Linked DNA regions of Saccharomyces cerevisiae S288C. Changing the gene in region 2 together with the main gene of any one other region gives a genetic interaction. Each region holds a gene or a part of one and is shown on either strand. Other genes may lie near its edges.

Region 1 (3,691 bases), on a different chromosome or scaffold from region 2:
GCCAAGACGGATCCGCAAAATAAGCAAGTCACGAAGAGATTCGAAGTCTTCATCAAAGGTAAGGAATACATCAATGCTTACGAAGAGGAAAATTGCCCCCAATTACAACTGCAGAAGTTTCTACAACAAAAGCAGATTAACGAATTGACAGGAAACAAAACTGAGACCTTATCGCCTGTTATTGACTACCAGTATGTTGAGACGATGAAATACGGTATGCCTCCAGTAGGTGGCTTTGGCCTTGGCATAGATAGATTGTGCATGCTATTTTGCGACAAGAAGAGGATAGAAGAGGTTCTGCCCTTTGGCTGTGTGGATGATGTAAACAGGCAGTAAATTTTGCGACGCCTGCCAATGCTTTTGTAAATAAATCAGACATATACTGTAAATAATTAGAATGGCATTTAATTTTTTTTTTTTCTCTACACCAATAAACTACGCTACGCGAAAAATCCAATATAAATATTCAGTTATAGCTAATGAGAGTGTCGAAAAACCTTGAAAACAACTACTGCACACCAAATTGATACGATTAAATGGTACCCCCCACGGTAGAAGCATCCTTGGAGTCTCCTTACACTAAGTCGTACTTTTCACCTGTCCCAAGCGCGCTCTTGGAACAGAATGACTCTCCAATAATAATGGGTATCGATGAAGCTGGCAGAGGGCCCGTATTAGGGCCAATGGTCTACGCAGTAGCCTATTCTACACAGAAATATCAGGACGAAACTATAATCCCTAACTACGAGTTTGACGACTCTAAAAAACTTACAGATCCCATCAGAAGAATGCTGTTTTCCAAGATATACCAGGACAACGAAGAACTAACCCAGATCGGCTACGCAACTACGTGCATCACTCCGTTGGATATCTCTAGAGGAATGAGCAAGTTCCCACCGACGAGAAACTATAACTTGAATGAGCAGGCGCACGATGTCACAATGGCACTCATTGATGGCGTGATAAAGCAGAACGTGAAGCTCAGTCACGTGTATGTGGATACTGTTGGACCACCAGCGTCCTATCAGAAGAAACTGGAGCAACGATTTCCTGGTGTCAAGTTTACGGTCGCCAAGAAGGCAGACTCGCTCTACTGCATGGTCAGTGTGGCGAGTGTCGTTGCAAAAGTGACCAGAGATATACTAGTCGAATCCTTGAAGAGGGATCCCGATGAGATCCTGGGTTCTGGATACCCCTCCGACCCGAAGACAGTCGCATGGCTGAAGCGCAACCAGACAAGTCTTATGGGCTGGCCCGCCAACATGGTAAGATTCTCATGGCAGACATGCCAGACTCTGTTAGATGACGCCAGTAAGAATAGTATCCCTATCAAGTGGGAAGAACAATATATGGACAGCAGGAAGAACGCCGCACAAAAAACCAAGCAATTGCAGCTCCAGATGGTCGCTAAGCCTGTTAGAAGGAAGAGGCTGAGAACCCTAGATAATTGGTACCGGTGATCACCTCCAGTTTGCACATACTATATATCTTCATGTAATACTACATATGTCATAACTTCAATAACTCATACAAGTCATCTGCTACTATGCTTTGCCGTTTCTACTATCCGTGAAGCGTGACCGGCCCTTCTCACCCCCCGTGTTACGCAAAGAACAACAAGAGGTCGAGACAACCAACCGGAACGACTAGAAGAGAGGCTGTTACGTTTCCTGTTTGTTCACGCTCAACATCTTCCATTGCTGTAAACTGCATCCAGTAAAATTAATAGTTATTAGCGTACTATGTCTGCCTTTGTCAGGGTGGTTCCAAGAATATCCAGAAGTTCAGTACTCACCAGATCATTGAGACTGCAATTGAGATGCTACGCATCGTACCCAGAGCACACCATTATTGGTATGCCGGCACTGTCTCCTACGATGACGCAAGGTAATCTTGCTGCTTGGACTAAGAAGGAAGGTGACCAATTGTCTCCCGGTGAAGTTATTGCCGAAATAGAAACAGACAAGGCTCAAATGGACTTTGAGTTCCAAGAAGATGGTTACTTAGCCAAGATTCTAGTTCCTGAAGGTACAAAGGACATTCCTGTCAACAAGCCTATTGCCGTCTATGTGGAGGACAAAGCTGATGTGCCAGCTTTTAAGGACTTTAAGCTGGAGGATTCAGGTTCTGATTCAAAGACCAGTACGAAGGCTCAGCCTGCCGAACCACAGGCAGAAAAGAAACAAGAAGCGCCAGCTGAAGAGACCAAGACTTCTGCACCTGAAGCTAAGAAATCTGACGTTGCTGCTCCTCAAGGTAGGATTTTTGCCTCTCCACTTGCCAAGACTATCGCCTTGGAAAAGGGTATTTCTTTGAAGGATGTTCACGGCACTGGACCCCGCGGTAGAATTACCAAGGCTGACATTGAGTCATATCTAGAAAAGTCGTCTAAGCAGTCTTCTCAAACCAGTGGTGCTGCCGCCGCCACTCCTGCCGCCGCTACCTCAAGCACTACTGCTGGCTCTGCTCCATCGCCTTCTTCTACAGCATCATATGAGGATGTTCCAATTTCAACCATGAGAAGCATCATTGGAGAACGTTTATTGCAATCTACTCAAGGCATTCCATCATACATCGTTTCCTCCAAGATATCCATCTCCAAACTTTTGAAATTGAGACAGTCCTTGAACGCTACAGCAAACGACAAGTACAAACTGTCCATTAATGACCTATTAGTAAAAGCCATCACTGTTGCGGCTAAGAGGGTGCCAGATGCCAATGCCTACTGGTTACCTAATGAGAACGTTATCCGTAAATTCAAGAATGTCGATGTCTCAGTCGCTGTTGCCACACCAACAGGATTATTGACACCAATTGTCAAGAATTGTGAGGCCAAGGGCTTGTCGCAAATCTCTAACGAAATCAAGGAACTAGTCAAGCGTGCCAGAATAAACAAATTGGCACCAGAGGAATTCCAAGGTGGGACCATTTGCATATCCAATATGGGCATGAATAATGCTGTTAACATGTTTACTTCGATTATCAACCCACCACAGTCTACAATCTTGGCCATCGCTACTGTTGAAAGGGTCGCTGTGGAAGACGCCGCTGCTGAGAACGGATTCTCCTTTGATAACCAGGTTACCATAACAGGGACCTTTGATCATAGAACCATTGATGGCGCCAAAGGTGCAGAATTCATGAAGGAATTGAAAACTGTTATTGAAAATCCTTTGGAAATGCTATTGTGAGGTTAGAATGAAAATAAAATTCGCCAGTAAATGCGTATCTTGGAGAAAATATCAATTTGTTATTTTGTATATATAAAAAATTAAAAAAAAAAAAAAAAAAATACTCAAATACTCAAATACGTATACATTATACTGAAATACTTCGCTTGTCTTCGAATCTAAATCCTCTCTCTCTTCTGTCTCAAAATGATATAAATAAATCACGTCAAACGGTGCGTCAACATCTTTGTTTTTTCACCTCATGTGGAATTGGTTGAAATTAACAAAGGAGTGGGATATAGGATATAACGCATAAAGTTTAGCATACTACTTTCGTATATTATTGTTCGGTGAAAGAAACTAGTTCCCTCTTATCTCTCAATATTTGCCAAAATTAGCTTTTAACAAATAAACCATGAGTTTCCTACCATCTTTTATCTTAAGCGATGAATCTAAAGAACGTATTTCCAAAATTTTAACTTTGACTCATAATGTAGCACATTATGGCTGGATCCCATTTG
Region 2 (3,252 bases):
TGTGCAAAATGGATCCATGGTATTTGGTTTCGTTTGCGTCCAAATTCCAATAATCTAATTCCGTGGTCCAGAAAGAATCTTCGCGGAATTCTATCTTACCGCTAGAGACGAACTTTTCCATTTCACCAGCAAATAAATCAAGAGCTCTGGATTCCTTTGTCGAGGGTTCACCACTTGGGAAGAACTCACGATCTCTCAGGTCATGAACTAATATATCAAAATCTTTTAACATAACATCGCTAACCATGTATGGAATGTCTTTAGCGTGGAAAATACATTTGGTAGCCAAACCACTTTGTAACAGAAAAGCTGCCAACATCAAGTCAGCATACAATTCAAAGCCAGAATTGTCTAATACAAAATCAACACGAATTTCTCTGCTATTGGCATCGGCCCTGGCTTTGGTTAATACCTCCCATGCTTTCTCCGTGTCATTAACAACAATCTTGGACTCGGATGCAGCTCTTGCTTTCGCCCCTTGGATTGATTTAATGTCTTCTAACGTAGCGTTGGTCAATAAAGATAAATCAGTGGCATTGCCCCACAAAGAAATCTCAATAAACTCTTTAAAAAGAACTTTCAATATATCGTCAATCTCATTTCCTGGATTTTGCTTCATTTCTCTCAGCTGTGGTAACAGATTTTCATACCTTAACGCCAATTCCACGACACCATAAAACGAGGACTCAAAAGTTGACTGTTTAAGTCTGTTGAATATGTCAAATTTAGCCCATTCGCATTGGCGTTGGAAAAGAACATTTACTCTTCTATACAAGTAAACCTCCGAGAACAGCCACTCTACAGCCCCCCAATTGACTTCAGGGTGTTTCTTTAGATATTCATTGAACGAAAGCGGGACGTTGGCAATTTTGATCTCTTCTTCAGTAAAGGGTCTCAAAGGTACACGATCAATTATCTCCTGACGGAATTCCTTGAGCTCCTTTTTGATAACTTCACCTTGTTCGAACTTAGTGCCGTTACTCTTCTCCGTTTCTTGATGCTTACTTAAATCGTCTATAGCATTCTGAATGATAATGGGCCAACGGGTGCTAGCAGTGTATTCACCAAAAGTGCCCTTATCAATTGTCATAAATCTTCCAGGGATAGTCATCTCTTGTTATGTACTACCCACTACCGTAATATCCTTTTTTTCCGTTTACACAAGGACCACAATGAACCACTAAATTTTAAAGAGTTCAAATGAAGTTTTATTCTTTTAATATGAAGGGAATAGTTGTATTTCTACTTCCGGGCAGTTATACTATCACGTTGCACCTGGGGCCTCTATGTCTGAGAGGTGTGTGGGTTATACTAAGAAATCATCGATGTGGACGATTACCGTCACTGGCAATGGTAACCTCCAATTCAGTCACTGGAGAAGAGAGGTACAATTTAGTGTGGAGTCATCCTTTCGTCTCATTCAGATGCTTAAGAGCAATGCTTACCGCAGAATCACATTAGGTAGAGAAACGGTTTTGCATGAAGGCTCCAGAAGAAGCAAGGGAATAAGCAGGGAAAATAAAGCAAAGGAAAGGAAGGTAGTCGTCAAGTGATGAGCTTTTATTCAAACCTACCGTCTGCAGGACAATCTAGTCGAGGGTCTTCAACAAGCGGTCGAAATGGGGTGGGATTAGAACCATTGTATCCGACTATCTTTGAGATAATGTCATCACAAGAAATCGATTCGTTACTGCCCGCATCCATCCGTTATCTACTGGCAAATCATTTAGTGGCGAACTTCCCTAACAGGTATACTTTGCGGCTGAACAAGTACTTTTTTGAGTGGTTTCAAGCGATAAAAGGGTTTGTTGAATGGTATCATCTAAAGACATACAATTCTACGTTTATTGATCGGTTTTATGGATTGCAACTATTTAGTTCGAGGGACAGAAATCTTGCCTTAACACAATGTTTAAATCCAAAGGGCCAGAGTGAATGGCCCCAAGGTTTGCAGCTGAATCAACAGCAAAAGAGTGTTATTTTTTTGGAAAAAATTATTCTCCCCTATATCACAGCGAAGTTGGATGAAATATTAGAGAAAATATCAATGAATAATATATTCAGCAGCGATGAAACTGAAAATAAATGGCCCAAGAGAGCGTTTCTAAGAATTTATCCATTTATTAAGAAATTATTAGCGTTATCCAATTTACTCGTTAAATTATTATTTTTAACTAAAAGAACAGGGTCGGTTTCCTTGTTGCAATACTTATTCAAGATAGAGTACACAACGGTAAGACCACTATCGTCAGAACTCTCTGGTCTCAAAGAGACGAAAGGGATGGATAATAGGCTAAGGAAAACAAATATATCGTCAATTTTCGCGCTAATGCAAGGACAATTATCGATTATACCCAGATTTTTAACATTTATGGGTTCGCAATTCTTCCCCACTTTTATATTTGTCCTAAGAGTGTACCAATGGTGGACCACACAAGACATGACTACTAAATTGCAGAAAAGGGTCAATGACTTGGATGAAGATATTCCAAGGCCGCCTTTCTCCTCACATAGTGACAAAACGGAAGATAAAGAGGGAGTTTCTGAGGCCTGTCCCGTTTGCGAAAAAACTGTACAAAACCCCTGTGTATTGGAAACAGGATACGTGGCATGCTACCCGTGTGCCATAAGCTATTTGGTTAATAATGAAGGCCATTGTCCCGTTACCAATAAAAAGCTGCTGGGTTGTACATACAACAAACACACGAATAAATGGGAAGTTGTGACAGGTATTAGGAAGCTACTAATCTGATGACGGAGGAAGTGAAGAAAATAATTCTGTGTAATATATATATTCTAGTTATTTTTTTAACATATTTGAAATTTCCCATTGTTTACACGAAATTTCTAATAATTTTATTTCATTAATTTTGTTATCCAGCAGGTAATTCATGTCACTTGTTCCACCTCTTTGCAGTTGTGTTACAAGCATTGATATTTTTCGAAGTATTACATCTTGCGTGGAAGAGAAAGGCTTGTCAGTGGCATCATAATTTTTCAAGAATATTATCATTCGATTAATCTTCTCGAGTAATTTTCTTATGGTATTATTATTATATTTTTGAATATTGATTTCTTTATCCTTCATGTCAATTAATTGAAACTCATCAAAACCTGGGTCTACGGTATTATTAGGTGTGGGAATTTGGTATCTGTCATTTACATCCTTAATTTGCACTTTATCTTGTAGAAAATCAAGGATAATTTCCGCGCCTATCTGTACACTATTTTCAATTTTATAACCCTTTAAAC
Region 3 (2,479 bases), on a different chromosome or scaffold from region 2:
ATTCGTTGAATCCTTCCTCATTTTCTTTTACGGGTCCACCAACATCTTCTTGGAGCACCTGGCAGGAAACGGCGGCGCATGGACTGCCAAGGATTTACAGCATGTGTCGATCGCGTTTATGTTCATAGGAACCGGATTGTGTGGGCTACTCACGGAGTACAAGCTCAACCATTGGCGATTCGAGCATGCCCGCAAACGGCCACAGACCGATGTAGTTGCTGCCACACCGGGGTACTCTCCAAACCCGTTCCCCGCTTTCACCATATTTTGGACTGGGATTCTGATGTCCCAGCACGCACAGTCCTCGCAATTTTCTACTACCATTCACACGCAATGGGGATACTTGTTGTCCTATGGGTCCTTCTTCCGTCTGCTAACATTTTTGATTCTGTTTTTGGTGCCCAACACCAACAGTGCCGCATCCAAGCCTTTCACGGAGTTGATCACCTCGTTCTGTCTCCTCTGTGGTGGTCTGGTATTTATGGAGTCCACGGATCAGTCCATTGAAGCCATGGAATATAGGGGGTTTACCCCCATGTTCACTTTCAACCTCAGTGTTGGATTCGTTTCTTTGTTGATGGCTTGGGAAATGATTTTATTTATTTGGAAAGACTGGCTCATCAAAACCAGGAAAACCAGTCTTTAACCGCCATAATGGCTTTTCTTTTTTCTTTTTTTTTTCACCCCCCCCTCATCTTTGAGTGAGAAGCTTATATGCTTTACTTTTCCTCACCTACTTTTTAATTCTTAATTATTAGTTTATCCAGCATTCAGTCAATTCTGAATGCGTTATCGCTTCCTCAAAATTTATAAAAATGAATAAGCAAGATCTCATTGGAATTGAGTTCAATGACGATTATTGAGGGCCCATACCTGATAAAAGTGAATATATTATGTATAATGACTCTACTGGAGGTTCTCTCTGAGAATGTAAAATAATCCACAAAAGACATGAAAATTAGTTACTCTACATAATGTATAATAAGTTCTTCCTTCCTTTTTTCTTTTTTTAGTTTTTCTACTCACCATCCTACCTACGCCAAGCTGCTCTACTGTCTTGGATCTGTGAAAAAACGCCTAGAAACATGTATAAAACCTACCGCTTTAAACCATAATTTCAAATCGAAATGGCACTATGGCCGAGTGGTTAAGGCGAGAGACTCGAATGGAATAAAAAGTTCGGCTATCTCTTGGGCTCTGCCCGCGCTGGTTCAAATCCTGCTGGTGTCGTTTAATTTTTTTTAAATAACATCGTTGATTAAAACAATCCTATTCACTGCAGTCACAGACTTAGCACATTTACAACCAGTACAAGATCAATCACACGCGTTGTGGTAGGAACTTTGACGATGATACTGCGTTGGCTCTTGAACGCATAGTACATTTGTCGTTCACAACGGAAAGTGAAATACTGAAAAAAAAAGAAAAATTTTCTTAGGGACTCATCATCAATGTAAACACCTCTACAGCCGTCAAGACTAGCAAAGCTCACCTCACAAAACGACATGCCGCGCATAAAGACCAGAAGATCCAAGCCTGCACCTGACGGGTTCGAAAAAATCAAGCCAACCCTCACAGATTTCGAAATCCAACTCAGAGATGCCCAAAAGGACAAGTCGTCTAAGCTCGCAGCAAAGTCCAATGAGCAGCTCTGGGAGATAATGCAACTCCACCACCAGCGCTCTAGATACATATATACTCTGTACTACAAGAGAAAGGCCATCTCCAAAGACCTTTACGATTGGTTGATAAAGGAAAAGTATGCTGATAAATTGCTAATTGCCAAATGGCGCAAAACCGGGTATGAAAAACTGTGCTGTCTGCGCTGCATTCAAAAGAACGAAACTAACAACGGTAGCACTTGCATCTGCAGGGTGCCTCGTGCACAGTTAGAGGAAGAAGCACGCAAAAAGGGCACACAGGTGTCCTTCCATCAGTGCGTCCACTGCGGCTGCCGTGGATGTGCAAGCACAGACTAACGACTATATGCACGTTGCAGTATTGTTCTGGCCATGTAATTATCTCTCTCCCAACGTTTTAGAAGAGGTTTTCGTCTCCTTCGTCAAAGACGACCACTTTCCCATTTTGGTCATTGGAACGCGAAAAAACAAAACAGACGCGAGAACGCGACGCGAAAAAATATATTTTTCCGTTTTTTTTTTTTTTCGGAACAAAGATAACGCGTTAAAACCTGTGGATGTAATAAGGATCTGAAACACTGACTAAAACGCGTCCTCATTTAAAATCAAAAAATTACTTCTTCTCCTCCCTTACGGTGCCCTTTGATCCTTCTCAAACTTTAAATATATGTTGCATGATTAATTGAAAATCATATAGAGTATATCTTAACAGAGGTTCCAACGCTTTAAATCGTATTCTATTCTTTTCCCCCCTTTTATTATAGTTACATCTACTATTTGAGCTTCTTTTATTGACCGAAACTACCTCTTATTTCGAAGCAAAAAAAAAAAAAATCAAC
Region 4 (2,843 bases), on a different chromosome or scaffold from region 2:
AAATTAGTGCTGTTATTTCAGAGCCTCCAGAAGATCAAGCTAATACTGTACCTCAACCACAACAACAATCCCAACAACCACAGCAACCACAGCAACCACAGCAACCACAGCAACCACAGCAACCACAGCAACAACAACAACCACAGCAACCACAACAACCACAACAACAACTACAACAGCAACAGCAACAGCAACAACAACCAGTACAAGCTCAAGCTCAAGCCCAAGAAGAACAATTATCTCAAAACTACTATACTCAACAACAGCAGCAACAATACGCTCAACAACAGCATCAGTTACAGCAACAGTATTTGTCCCAACAACAACAATATGCTCAGCAACAGCAACAGCATCCACAACCTCAATCACAACAACCTCAATCACAGCAAAGTCCACAAAGTCAAAAACAAGGGAACAACGTGGCTGCCCAACAGTACTACATGTATCAAAACCAATTTCCTGGATATTCTTATCCAGGTATGTTTGATTCACAAGGATACGCTTACGGTCAACAATATCAGCAACTTGCTCAAAACAACGCTCAAACTAGTGGTAATGCTAACCAATATAATTTCCAACAAGGTTATGGTCAAGCAGGCGCGAACACTGCTGCTGCTAATTTGACTAGTGCTGCCGCTGCTGCTGCCGCTTCTCCAGCTACAGCTCACGCCCAACCTCAACAACAACAGCCATACGGTGGCTCATTCATGCCATACTACGCCCACTTTTACCAACAGTCATTCCCATATGGTCAACCTCAATACGGTGTAGCTGGTCAATATCCATACCAGTTACCAAAGAACAATTACAACTATTACCAAACTCAAAACGGTCAGGAACAGCAAAGTCCAAATCAAGGTGTTGCCCAGCATTCTGAAGACTCTCAACAGAAGCAATCACAACAGCAACAGCAACAGCAACCTCAAGGTCAACCCCAACCTGAAGTTCAAATGCAAAATGGCCAACCTGTTAACCCACAACAACAAATGCAGTTCCAACAATACTATCAATTCCAACAACAACAGCAACAAGCTGCTGCCGCTGCCGCTGCTGCTGCCCAACAAGGTGTACCATATGGCTACAACGGTTATGATTACAATTCTAAAAATTCAAGAGGTTTCTACTAATAAGGGAGAAGTAGAACCTCCCACATAAAAAACGAAATGGGGAATAAAATACAATGAATTTAAATACACATTTTATTACCACTATTATGTTTTACTTTCTTCAATGTTTGGGCAAGGATTCCATATCCTTTTGATGATGTCATATATCATTTAAATTTTGCATATATATATATACGTACGTAAATAATAAAAGGTATATATATGTTGTGTTATCTATCTAGCTAGCTGTGTCTTTATTTTGCGGGGTTTTGGAAATGCCACTTTTTCTGTTTTATATATCACAGCGTCAAAATTTCCGCCGTTACTGTTTGCAACTGATGAGAACTATGGAATACACATGAGTACATTGGTATAGACGTGGGAGAAGAAAAGTCTGGAAATGCATTATTTGCCTGTTGCGATAGTAACAGGTGCCACTAGGGGTATAGGCAAGGCAATATGTCAAAAGTTATTTCAAAAGGGTTTAAGTTGCATTATACTTGGGTCTACTAAAGAAAGTATAGAGCGCACCGCGATAGATAGAGGCCAATTACAATCGGGATTATCATATCAGCGGCAATGTGCTATAGCAATTGATTTTAAGAAATGGCCTCACTGGCTTGACTATGAGTCATATGACGGTATCGAATATTTCAAAGATAGACCGCCCTTGAAACAGAAATATTCCACATTGTTCGACCCATGTAACAAATGGTCAAATAATGAACGCCGCTACTACGTAAACTTATTGATTAACTGCGCAGGCTTGACTCAAGAATCATTAAGTGTAAGAACCACTGCATCTCAAATTCAGGACATAATGAATGTTAACTTTATGAGCCCTGTGACGATGACAAACATCTGTATTAAGTATATGATGAAGTCGCAAAGGAGATGGCCGGAACTCAGTGGTCAATCTGCTCGACCCACCATCGTAAATATTTCCTCCATTCTACACTCCGGAAAAATGAAGGTTCCAGGTACATCTGTTTACTCCGCCTCTAAAGCCGCACTGTCCAGATTTACAGAAGTTTTAGCTGCAGAAATGGAACCAAGAAACATTAGGTGTTTTACGATATCTCCAGGTTTAGTCAAAGGGACCGATATGATCCAAAATTTGCCAGTGGAGGCTAAAGAAATGCTGGAGAGAACCATTGGGGCAAGCGGTACAAGCGCACCCGCTGAAATAGCGGAAGAAGTCTGGTCTCTATACAGTAGAACTGCTTTGGAGACGTAAAAGAAAATCGAAACAAATAATAGATTTGTGTCTGTTCAATGTGTATATCGATGAGCTCAGTGAACACATTTTCACATCACGTTTCTTTTTTTTCTTTTTTCCGCTAAGAAAAATTTTCCAGAATTTTTCAGAGGCAAAACAAAACTCATCGATTTCGCACGCATTTCTCGTAGAATTGATATTTTTTTATTTTTTTATTGGTTTTTTTTTTTTTTTTCACTTTTTTTTCTTCCTTTCATGATATTTATAAGGAGAAGTATTTCAATTGGGACTTAAAAAAAAATTTTATTTTGGTTAATGTTTTCATTCAATGGTTTACTACTTTCATTTTAGCTTTTTAACAATTTTCTTTCTGGGGTCTCAGTTGCGGTTAGCAGATTAACACAGAACATACTATAGACAAATATGATTATTTACAAGGATATCTTCTCTAACGACGAATTGTTGTCTGATGCTTACGACGCTAAGTTAGTTGATGACGTTATCTACGAAGCCGACTG

Evidence for each region.
Region 1: mutations in PEX12 (region 2) and LAT1 together harm fitness more than expected from each alone (negative genetic interaction), as found in Saccharomyces cerevisiae (3 studies listed by BioGRID).
Region 3: mutations in PEX12 (region 2) and BUD31 together harm fitness less than expected from each alone (positive genetic interaction), as found in Saccharomyces cerevisiae (3 studies listed by BioGRID).
Region 4: mutations in PEX12 (region 2) and OAR1 together harm fitness more than expected from each alone (negative genetic interaction), as found in Saccharomyces cerevisiae (3 studies listed by BioGRID).

The regions. Positions count from the first base shown.
Region 1 is NC_001146.8:489,781-493,471, forward strand, and holds LAT1 (dihydrolipoyllysine-residue acetyltransferase), read left to right. Parts: upstream 1-1,742; coding exon 1,743-3,191; downstream 3,192-3,691. Other genes in the region: lysine--tRNA ligase MSK1, read left to right, coding at 1-336; ribonuclease H2 catalytic subunit RNH201, read left to right, coding at 537-1,460; TOM7 (Tom7p), read left to right, coding at 3,586-3,691. UniProt on the Saccharomyces cerevisiae protein: The pyruvate dehydrogenase complex catalyzes the overall conversion of pyruvate to acetyl-CoA and CO(2).
Region 2 is NC_001145.3:323,736-326,987, reverse strand, and holds PEX12 (ubiquitin-protein ligase peroxin 12), read left to right. Parts: upstream 1-1,552; coding exon 1,553-2,752; downstream 2,753-3,252. Other genes in the region: YMR027W (putative methyltransferase), read right to left, coding at 1-1,111; CSI1 (Csi1p), read right to left, coding at 2,801-3,252. UniProt on the Saccharomyces cerevisiae protein: Component of a retrotranslocation channel required for peroxisome organization by mediating export of the PEX5 receptor from peroxisomes to the cytosol, thereby promoting PEX5 recycling.
Region 3 is NC_001135.5:226,813-229,291, forward strand, and holds BUD31 (U2 snRNP complex subunit BUD31), read left to right. Parts: upstream 1-1,505; coding exon 1,506-1,979; downstream 1,980-2,479. Other genes in the region: TVS1 (Tvs1p), read left to right, coding at 1-646. UniProt on the Saccharomyces cerevisiae protein: Involved in pre-mRNA splicing. Important for bud site selection.
Region 4 is NC_001143.9:334,821-337,663, reverse strand, and holds OAR1 (3-oxoacyl-[acyl-carrier-protein] reductase (NADPH)), read left to right. Parts: upstream 1-1,506; coding exon 1,507-2,343; downstream 2,344-2,843. Other genes in the region: DNA damage-responsive RNA polymerase-degradation factor DEF1, read left to right, coding at 1-1,127; TMA19 (Tma19p), read left to right, coding at 2,749-2,843. UniProt on the Saccharomyces cerevisiae protein: Involved in biosynthesis of fatty acids in mitochondria.